Linked DNA regions of Schizosaccharomyces pombe. The protein of the gene in region 1 binds, or shares a complex with, the protein of each later gene. Each region holds a gene or a part of one and is shown on either strand. Other genes may lie near its edges. The genes, in order: qcr7 and cob. A codon is read from its position in the direction of its gene.

Evidence for each region.
Region 2: the proteins of qcr7 (region 1) and cob are in contact, whole or in part, in a cryo-EM structure (PDB 8Q1B), measured with the Schizosaccharomyces pombe proteins. Residues at the interface, in NP_588364.1 of Schizosaccharomyces pombe: Lys2 (codon at 2,118), Pro3 (codon at 2,121), Val4 (codon at 2,124), Ser5 (codon at 2,127), Leu6 (codon at 2,130), Ala7 (codon at 2,133), Ile10 (codon at 2,142), Gln11 (codon at 2,145), Thr17 (codon at 2,163), Leu20 (codon at 2,172), Leu21 (codon at 2,175), Ile23 (codon at 2,181), Ser24 (codon at 2,184), Asn25 (codon at 2,187), Tyr27 (codon at 2,193), Val28 (codon at 2,196), Leu30 (codon at 2,202), Ser31 (codon at 2,205), Gly32 (codon at 2,208), Tyr33 (codon at 2,211), Arg34 (codon at 2,214), Tyr36 (codon at 2,220), Tyr40 (codon at 2,232), Asp42 (codon at 2,238), Leu43 (codon at 2,241), Met44 (codon at 2,244), Leu45 (codon at 2,247), Glu46 (codon at 2,250), Glu47 (codon at 2,253), Asn48 (codon at 2,256); in YP_011104932.1 of Schizosaccharomyces pombe: Ser24 (codon at 1,769), Asn25 (codon at 1,772), Lys107 (codon at 2,018), Tyr108 (codon at 2,021), Pro109 (codon at 2,024), Leu210 (codon at 2,327), Val212 (codon at 2,333), Thr213 (codon at 2,336), Ala214 (codon at 2,339), Met216 (codon at 2,345), Asp217 (codon at 2,348), Phe310 (codon at 5,153), Ala312 (codon at 5,159), Ile313 (codon at 5,162), Arg314 (codon at 5,165), Ser317 (codon at 5,174), Phe318 (codon at 5,177), Asn319 (codon at 5,180), Pro320 (codon at 5,183), Phe321 (codon at 5,186), Ile372 (codon at 5,339), Gly374 (codon at 5,345), Asn375 (codon at 5,348), Thr376 (codon at 5,351), Leu377 (codon at 5,354), Ile378 (codon at 5,357), Asp379 (codon at 5,360), Leu380 (codon at 5,363), Asn381 (codon at 5,366), Leu382 (codon at 5,369).

Annotation. Positions count from the first base shown.
Region 1 is NC_003421.2:1,886,200-1,890,069, reverse strand, and holds qcr7 (ubiquinol-cytochrome-c reductase complex subunit 6), read left to right. Parts: upstream 1-2,020; 5' UTR 2,021-2,114; coding exon 2,115-2,528; 3' UTR 2,529-3,075; downstream 3,076-3,870. Other genes in the region: inner nuclear membrane protein Ima1, read left to right, coding at 1-1,445; SPOM_SPCC297.06C (uncharacterized protein), read left to right, coding at 3,416-3,870.
Region 2 is NC_088682.1:8,476-14,498, forward strand, and holds cob (apocytochrome b), read left to right. Parts: upstream 1-1,699; coding exon 1,700-2,383; coding exon of another isoform or gene 2,384-4,807; intron 4,808-4,909; coding exon 4,910-5,389; downstream 5,390-6,023. Other genes in the region: cox1 (cytochrome oxidase subunit 1), read left to right, coding at 1-317; cox3 (cytochrome oxidase subunit 3), read left to right, coding at 486-1,295.

The DNA.
Region 1 (3,870 bases):
AATCTATAGAAGAGAAATTTCCCATTGTTTGCTCTGAATGCTATGACTCCGTTCAAGACCAACTTGATGCCAATGATTATGAAGCCAAAAATCAGGTTTTAGGATATTGGCTGCAAAAGTCAAAGGAACAGCTAAACGCAAAAGTCCCCCATCACTATCCAAAAGCTTCTTTTGTTCTTTGGTTACTTCGTGGATTTGGTTTTTCGTTTTTCTATTTGCAATCGATTGTGTGGCATTTGTATCATTCTATGATAATAAGCTTATTACCAGATGGTATTCGTAATTTATTTCTAAAAGCAATCTCTTACTTCCTATTAGATGGATCCTCTAGCAAAATTTTTTACTTTAATTGGCTTGGTTTTTTCGTTGTCTTTTGGAACCCGTATTGGTACAAAATGATGGACAATCCATCTTGGGAGCTTTTTGGGCGGGATCAGTATATCCAATGTCAGGCACTTTATCTTATTATCCGTTTAACTTGCTTGTATCTCCTTTCATGTTATGAGTCGGAAATTTTGAACTTAAGCTCGGATACCAATCTTGAAAGTGATTTTTTACTCCGTCAAATACATGCAGCCTTTTTCTTTGTTACCATTTGTTTTACATGGATTAGCATCTCATGTTTAAAGCCAAGTCCTCCTCCAGAAGTTCATTTGACTGGCGAAATTTTGAAACCACGCAAGAAGCGTCAGGAAAGTACATCTTCTGTGCATCGGATAGGAAAGGAATCGAGTGACAGAAAAGATGGAATTAGTGGGCAGAATAAATTGCAGCAATTTGCGACAATTTCAATTCTGAATAATACCAACGCAACGTCTCATTTGGGAAATCAGTCTGTTCGTGAGAGAGCTCCGGAGGAATCCCCTATGACTTTTCTTCAAAAAAAAATGGCCGCCCTTCCAACATCTAGTCCTGTTCGACCGATGCTTAAACCTACTCTTCAGCTTCAAAATTCTCCTTTATCGAAACTGGTTCCTCAAGAAGTGGGCAACAAAGTAAACGATTCTATTCATACGACGTCTAATCAGCCAAGTAAATTTTCCCTGAACCCTTCCATATCTCTAAAAGGTGATAACGTGATAGAGAAGAATTTACCTTTTTCCGTGTCTACTTTAAAGTCCACTGCAAAGAAAGATACTGGTAAAGCAGGGGATGGTCAAAATCGCGAAATTCAAAATGAGCCAGTGAGCCTTGAAAGTCATTTTAGTAAGTCTTTAGCCCTTCAGAACGATCCAACAGAAGTTATTCAGGTGAAAAACGTTCTTCACCGGAATCGTCGAAATGCAAAGCTTCTCATTGCTTTCACAATTTTGTTCCTCGTTGGGTTAATTTGCGGATGGCGTTTGAATCGTTTTACTATGTTCATTTACTATTTATGCATATTGGTGTTAGCCACATATTATGTTATGAAACACAACTTTTATCCTTTAAGAAAGGTGGCTTGATCTGGTTACTATTTAAAGAAGTGGATGCAAAGTAATATGGAATATATTCTTTTGCAAACCAATCATTCATTAATTTATCCAATTTTGGAATAAATTTCGTTACTAATATTGCCAGAGGCGGTTATGTCGCTATCATTTGTTTAAAGTTTTTCAGCTCCTTTCTGGCAACTCGACATATTCGAGCTAGCGCATTCGCACAAATGGGATCCAATATAAATTTACTTTTTTTTTCCTATTAAAGCTATATAATTAAGTATTTTTCATACTAACGAGTTTTATTTGATAAATTTCATTCGTTTCAATAGGTTAGTACTGAAAGAGAACATGTAACCTGAGCAAACTTCTGGTTCATACGAATACTAGCAATGGTGCATTCCCGAATATATGTTAGACACGTCGTTAAATTAGTTTAGGTTATAAAATCGTTAGAGTTAAACAATAACTTAAGAGAAATGAGCCGAGAATACTAGGATATTCAGATTTTCATTACTTTCTAATTCCGCTCAGGATTCTATGTGCAGGTAACATCAGGTGACCGAAGGATTCATTGGCATACTATAGGGCCATGAGATCTTACCTTCTTCCAATATTCAAAACTAAGAGTTTTATTGATTTCAGTGCAAATTTTGTAGTGACGAAATTTTTTTTTGCTGAAGTGATTGTTTAAGTATGAAACCTGTGTCTCTTGCCAAGTATATTCAAAAATCACCATTTTTGACGAAATTGCTTTTACCCATCTCCAATGCCTATGTGCATTTGTCAGGATACCGTAAATATGGTCTTCGATACGACGATTTGATGTTGGAGGAGAATGACGATACTCAAAAGGCGTTATCTCGTTTGCCTAAGATGGAATCCTACGATCGAGTCTATCGTATTCGCCGTGCCATGCAACTTAGCATTGAGAATAAAATTTTGCCAAAATCTGAATGGACAAAGCCTGAGGAGGATTACCATTACCTCAGACCTGTTTTAGCTGAGGTTATCGCGGAGAGGAAAGAGCGTGAGGCCTTCGACGCTCTCATTGTTAAGAAACCCGAGACTCAAGCCCATGCAACATCTTCTCCTGCTCATGCTCATTAAAAGTTTGCATGTCCTCCTTTAATCCACTTATTCCTCTCATGAAAACCGACAAGAAAATTAAAAGAGTAGTAAACGGATGTGAGAATTTTATTTTCTAAGTAACCCCCAACTCCAATTTCTAAAAAGGAAGACAATTTATGCACGTATCTTATTTCATCGGTTATATCAGTCGACAAAGTACGTGGAAACGAAAGTTTTTATATTGCTGTTTATCTGTACTTTGACTTTACTATGTGTGCGATTAATTTTCTACGCCGCTCTGTTTTTGCTTTGCTCTATTTTAACTACTGGTATATCTCCCATCTCTTTGACCTCTCCTCTCTATGCTTTCAGTTTTCATATTTTAATTGAACAACGATTTTTTCTTATTTTTTATTTTTTGTAGCTGCTTTTTCCTTGACTGTTATCTTTGAAAGAGAAACAATTTTTTTGTTTCTTAGTTTCGCTTTCTGAAGATGATTTTGCAATTATTCTCTCGCTGAATCAATTATAGCTAATGGTTGGTATAACATAAGTTAGTGAACAAAACATTGTAAGGCAAACCAACTAATGTAGTATTTTTTTTAAATCGTGATATCAAATTTTAAACTTGTTAAACAGACAAACTTATTTTGAGAAATTTTATGACAGTTTGGCATTGTATTTATTGATTTAATTAAGCTTACTCCTATTTGACTTTAGGCATACTCTTCCTTGTACGACTTCAAGCTCATGAGCTTTTCACTATCTGAAATGTTGTACCCAGAGTCATAATATATGAACCTCCGATCGACGTAAAGTATTATTGAATTTAATTTTATTTATTTCCGCGTTTGTTTAACTTGTTTGAGGAACTTGAAAAATTACAAGAAAATCATGTACAATTTTGTTCGAAATATTTATTGAATATGCAGGGGAAAATCAATTATAAAGACATTACTCAGAAAGAAATGTTCAATGAAATATTTAAAGAATATGTTAAGGAAGAGAAGCAGATCGATTTGGGTACTTGTGATCAAGATTCTGTACACGACCTCTGGCGACGCTTTGTAAAAAGATGGAATGATGGAAAAATGAAAAGTAAATGGTATTCGTTGGGAAAGAGAATATCTCAACCCTCTTATGCTCGTCTTGTAGGTCCAAGTCGACCAACTTTGGAAAATTTACAAGATCGACGAGAATTGCAGGAGCAATTAAACGAGTTGAGAAAGCTATCCCGAAAATCAGCTTTTAAATCGCAAGCTAAAAGGGAGACAGAATTGTTGGATGAAATTCTTCCAAAAGAACCAGCAGGAAGCAAAGAAGCTATGCAACAGAAAAAGAAGGAAAAACGAGCTGCTTTGAAGCATTATCGCGAAGCATC
Region 2 (6,023 bases), on another chromosome or scaffold:
CTCAACATTTCTTAGGATTAAATGGTATGCCTAGAAGAATACCAGATTATCCAGATGCATTTGTGGGATGGAATTTTGTATCAAGTATTGGTTCAGTAATTTCTATTCTTTCATTATTCCTATTTATGTATGTTATGTATGATCAATTTACATCAAATAGAGTGGTTAAAACAAATCCTTATTTAATCCCTAGCTATTTTGATGATAATGTAATCTTCGTAAATGAAAAATTAGGGGTAGCTCAATCAATAGAATGGTTACTACATTCACCAGTACACGAACACGCATTTAATACATTACCTACAAAAAGTATTTAATTTAAAATCTTAACCCCCCTTTTATTTTATAAACTTTATTCCAATTTAAAAATTGGAGAGGGAGATTGAAGGATAATTTAGCTATCCTATTCAAAATTGTATCTTTATAATTTTTTTATTCCTTATATGTGAGAGAACACTATTGAGATAAACTAATTTAGCTTAAACATGAATCTTTCTACTAAATTTCAAGGACATCCTTATCATATTGTAAGTGCGTCACCTTGGCCATTTTTCTTATCTGTAGTATTATTCTTTAACTGTTTAGCAGCTACATTATATTTACATGGATACAAACATTCATCAGTATTCTTTGGAATCAGTTTCTTAGGTTTATTAGCAACTATGTATTTATGGTTTAGAGATATGTCAACTGAAGCTAATATTCATGGTGCACATACAAAAGCAGTAACAAAAGGATTAAAAATAGGATTTATGTTATTCCTAATTTCTGAAACTTTCTTATTTGCTTCTATTTTCTGGGCTTTCTTCCATAGTTCATTATCACCTACTTTTGAATTAGGTGCAGTATGGCCACCAGTAGGAATAGCAGATAAAACAATAGATCCATTAGAAGTCCCTCTATTAAATACAGTAATTTTATTAACTTCTGGTGCTAGTTTAACTTATGCTCATTATTCATTAATTGCTAGAAATAGAGAAAATGCTTTAAAAGGTTTATATATGACTATCGCTTTATCATTCTTATTCTTAGGAGGTCAAGCTTATGAATACTGGAATGCTCCATTCACTATTTCAGATTCTGTTTATGGTGCTAGTTTCTATTTTGCTACTGGTCTTCATGGTATTCATATTATTGTTGGTACAATTCTACTTCTTGTTGCTACTTATAATATTTATACTTACCACTTAACTAATACTCATCATAATGGATTTGAATGTGGTATTTATTATTGGCATTTCTGTGATGTTGTTTGGTTATTCCTTTATTTAACTATTTATATTTGGGGTAGCTAAGGCTTACTTCAATTTTTCCCCCCTTTTTATATCTTATTTCTCTAAAATAGTCTGTATAGCTCAATGGTAGAGCATCTCACTTCTAATGAGTCGATCTAAGTTCGATTCTTAGTACAGATTCCACACCTAGAAGGTGTGTATTTTTTTTTTAGCTAATTTAACTCAATTGGTAGAGTGCGTACCTTGTAAGTACGAAGTTAGAGGTTCAATTCCTCTAATTAGCAATCCCTTTCCCATATTTTTGGTATAAGAGGATCTCAGATAGTATCTAACCTATCTTATCTTTTATTATCCAATATCCTTTTAATAAGATTTGGATCTTTTTTCCCAATTCCTTCAAATTTTTGACTATTTATCGATAATGATTGTTCAATTTAGAAGGGATAATTTCAAATTTAATTTTTATGAAAATTTTAAAATCTAATCCTTTTTTAGCTTTGGCTAATAATTATATGATTGATGCTCCTGAACCTTCAAATATTTCATACTTCTGGAATTTTGGTTCTCTTTTAGCTTGTGTATTAGTTATTCAAATTGTAACTGGTATACTTTTAGCTTGTTTTTATATTCCTAATATGGATTTAGCTTTCCTTTCAGTTGAAAGAATTGTTAGAGATGTAAATTATGGTTTCTTATTAAGAGCTTTCCATGCAAATGGTGCTAGTTTCTTCTTTATCTTCTTATACTTACACATAGGTAGAGGTTTATATTATGGTTCTTATAAATATCCAAGAACAATGACATGGAATATTGGTGTTATTATCTTCTTATTAACTATTATTACTGCCTTTTTAGGTTACTGTTTACCAGCTAATCAAATGTCATTCTGGGGTGCAACTGTTATTACTAATTTATTATCAGCTGTTCCTTTCATTGGTGATGATTTAGTTCATCTATTATGGGGTGGATTTAGTGTATCTAATCCTACTTTAAATAGATTCTTCTCACTTCACTATTTAATGCCTTTTGTTATTGCTGCTTTATCAGTAATGCATTTAATTGCTCTACATACTAATGGTTCATCAAATCCATTAGGTGTAACAGCTAATATGGACAGAATCCCAATGAACCCGTATTATCTGATAAAATTGCGCCGTTGTGGTATATATGTGTACCCTCATAGAGAAAGGGATATCTTGTGTGTAAAGATATGAACAATACACTTAGGTAGCTGGGGAAACCCAATGCCGAACAGAGCATGTGTACAGAAGGTCCTTCCTGTAACGAAACAGATAAGTTCAGATGGATCAGTTCAAATAGATACGGTTAGAGCTGTATTGCCCGAATTCCAATTCCCATCTCACCCTCAGATAGGTGATTGTCTTAGCTGAATAGAGACATTCTTCTCTAGATCTTTGGTTGGCTTTTATGACCAAGGATACACACCAGGAGAAGAGAGTTGTACCAATAGTACAATTAAGGGAATGAGTGGAAAACCTACGTCTATCAACTCAAACATATATACAACTACGGGTCCCGCTAAGGTCAGTAATGACTATGCGGTCAGAGATCCTGGAGTAGCTGTTGATCATTTTGATCAATACGGTCCTTTGAAAGAGGGAAGAAGTTTGAACTCTGCAAAGATTTCAACACAGTGAAGTGGATCAGCTACATTAAAGTCTTCCAATAGATCAATATTTAATATTGGTTTAGGATACATTAATACTTTTTTAGGGGTATCTAATGTAAGAGGATTTAGTACAGGATCAGGACGATCAAAAAATGTACTAAATAAACTAGACGATTTATCTAAACGATCAAAAAATTATCCTAATCTTGTAATTGATAGAAATCTCTACAAAGATTTCCTATTAAATCGAGATATGTTCCTTATTGCTTATAATAAATTAAAATCTAATCCTGGTATGATGACTCCTGGTCTTAAACCGGATACTTTAGATGGAATGTCTATAGATGTTATTGATAAAATTATCCAAAGCCTTAAATCTGAAGAATTTAACTTCACTCCTGGTAGACGTATCTTAATTGATAAAGCCAGTGGTGGAAAAAGACCATTAACAATTGGTAGTCCTCGAGACAAATTAGTTCAAGAAATTCTTAGAATAGTCCTTGAGGCTATCTATGAACCATTATTTAATACTGCTTCTCATGGATTTAGACCAGGTCGAAGTTGTCATTCTGCTCTTAGATCTATTTTCACTAATTTTAAAGGTTGTACTTGGTGGATTGAAGGAGATATTAAAGCTTGTTTTGATTCTATCCCTCATGATAAATTAATTGCTCTATTATCTTCTAAAATTAAAGATCAACGATTTATTCAATTAATTCGTAAAGCTTTAAATGCTGGATATCTAACTGAAAATAGATATAAATACGATATTGTTGGAACTCCTCAAGGTTCTATAGTTAGTCCTATCTTAGCAAATATCTACCTTCATCAATTGGATGAATTTATTGAAAACCTAAAATCAGAATTTGATTACAAAGGTCCAATAGCTCGTAAAAGAACTTCTGAATCTAGACATCTTCATTATCTAATGGCAAAAGCCAAAAGAGAAAATGCTGATTCAAAAACAATTAGAAAAATAGCGATTGAAATGCGTAATGTTCCTAATAAGATACATGGTATTCAATCTAATAAACTAATGTATGTTCGATACGCTGATGATTGGATAGTTGCAGTTAATGGAAGTTATACTCAAACTAAAGAGATTTTAGCTAAAATTACCTGTTTCTGTTCATCAATTGGACTAACAGTATCTCCAACTAAGACTAAAATAACTAATTCATATACGGATAAAATACTTTTCCTTGGTACTAATATTAGCCATTCTAAAAATGTTACCTTTAGTAGACATTTTGGTATACTTCAAAGAAATTCTGGGTTTATTTTACTTTCTGCTCCTATGGATCGAATTGCAAAAAAACTTAGAGAAACTGGACTTATGCTTAATCATAAAGGTAGATCTGTTATTAGATGGTTACCTCTTGATGTACGACAAATTATTGGTTTAGCGAATTCTATTATTAGAGGTTACGATAATTATTATTCTTTTGTTCATAATAGAGGAAGATTTGCTACTTACGTTTACTTCATAATTAAAGACTGTGTTCTTCGAACATTAGCTCATAAATTATCATTAGGTACTAGAATGAAAGTAATTAAAAAATTTGGTCCTGACCTTTCTATCTATGATTACAACTCTAGAGATGAAAATAATAAACCAAAATTAATTACCCAATTATTTAAACCTTCTTGGAAAGTTAATGTTTGGGGATTTAAATCTGACAAAGTTAAATTGAACATTAGAACACTTTATGCTTCTCACTTATCAATGGCTAACTTAGAAAATCTACAGTGTGCTGCTTGTCAAAGTACTTATAAAGTGGAAATGCATCATGTTAGACAGATGAAAAATCTTAAACCAATCAAAGGTACTTTAGATTACTTAATGGCAAAAGCAAATAGAAAACAAATTCCATTATGTAGATCTTGTCACATGAAACTTCATGCTAATAAGTTAACTCTTAATGAGGATAAAAAAGTTTAGATATCTTAAATGTAGTGGAGAGCCGTATAATTACGAAAGTATCCCGTACGGTTCGGTGACGAGCCGTGTCAACCCTGCAAAGGGAATGCGTCTTAGTTCAATGATTTGATAACAATATTTATCTTCTTAATCGGTATAAATTATATGGCATTCTATAATCCATATGGATTTATGGAACCAGATTGTGCTTTACCAGCGGATCCTCTAAAAACTCCAATGTCTATTGTTCCAGAATGGTATTTATTACCTTTCTATGCTATTTTAAGAGCTATACCTAACTTCCAATTAGGAGTTATAGCAATGTTATTATCAATCTTAGTATTACTATTATTACCATTATTAGATTTCTCAGCTATTAGAGGTAATAGTTTTAACCCATTTGGTAAATTCTTCTTCTGGACATTTGTTGCCGATTTTGTAATTCTTGCATGGATTGGTGGATCACATCCAGAAAACGTCTTTATCACAATTGGTGCTATTGCTACAATCTTCTATTTTAGCTACTTCTTTATTTTAATACCAGTATATACTATATTAGGTAATACATTAATTGATTTAAATTTAAGCTCAATTAAACGATAATCTCTTCCCCCTTTACACTATATAAAAATATCTTATTTAAACAGTATAATATTTAATAAAAAGCTCATCAAAAGGTATGAATAAAAGTTTTTTACATAGATTAGGTAATAAAACATTCTTTGGGTGTTAGTAGTGATTAGAAGAAGTTGATCTTTTAGGGATTTATTTTTATCAGAATTTTTACGGTCAATTTTTATCTAATTAAATGTGAATAAGTTTGCGATTTAATGTAATTGGTTAACATCTCTGACTCATGATCAGTGTATTAAGGTTCAAGTCCTTAGGTCGCACTTTATGCTCTGATAACTTAACGGTTAAAGTGCAGTATTGAAGCTGCTGAGATATTGGTTCGATTCCATTTCAGAGCAAATAAAAGAATCTGTAGCTTAAAGTAAAGTATCGCCTTGTCACGGTGATGGATGCCCACTCGTACTGGGTCAGATTCGTTTAAGCAGATATAAGTCAATTGGCAGACCTTCTGATTTCCACTTAGATTATGTTCGTTCGAATCGGACTATCTGCATTAAATAAGCCTAAATGCTGGAATTTGGTAGACAGAACAAACTTAAGATTTGTCGCTTTCGAGCGTGTTGGTTCGAGTCCAACTTTAGGTATAACTAAAAAAAAAAAAGAG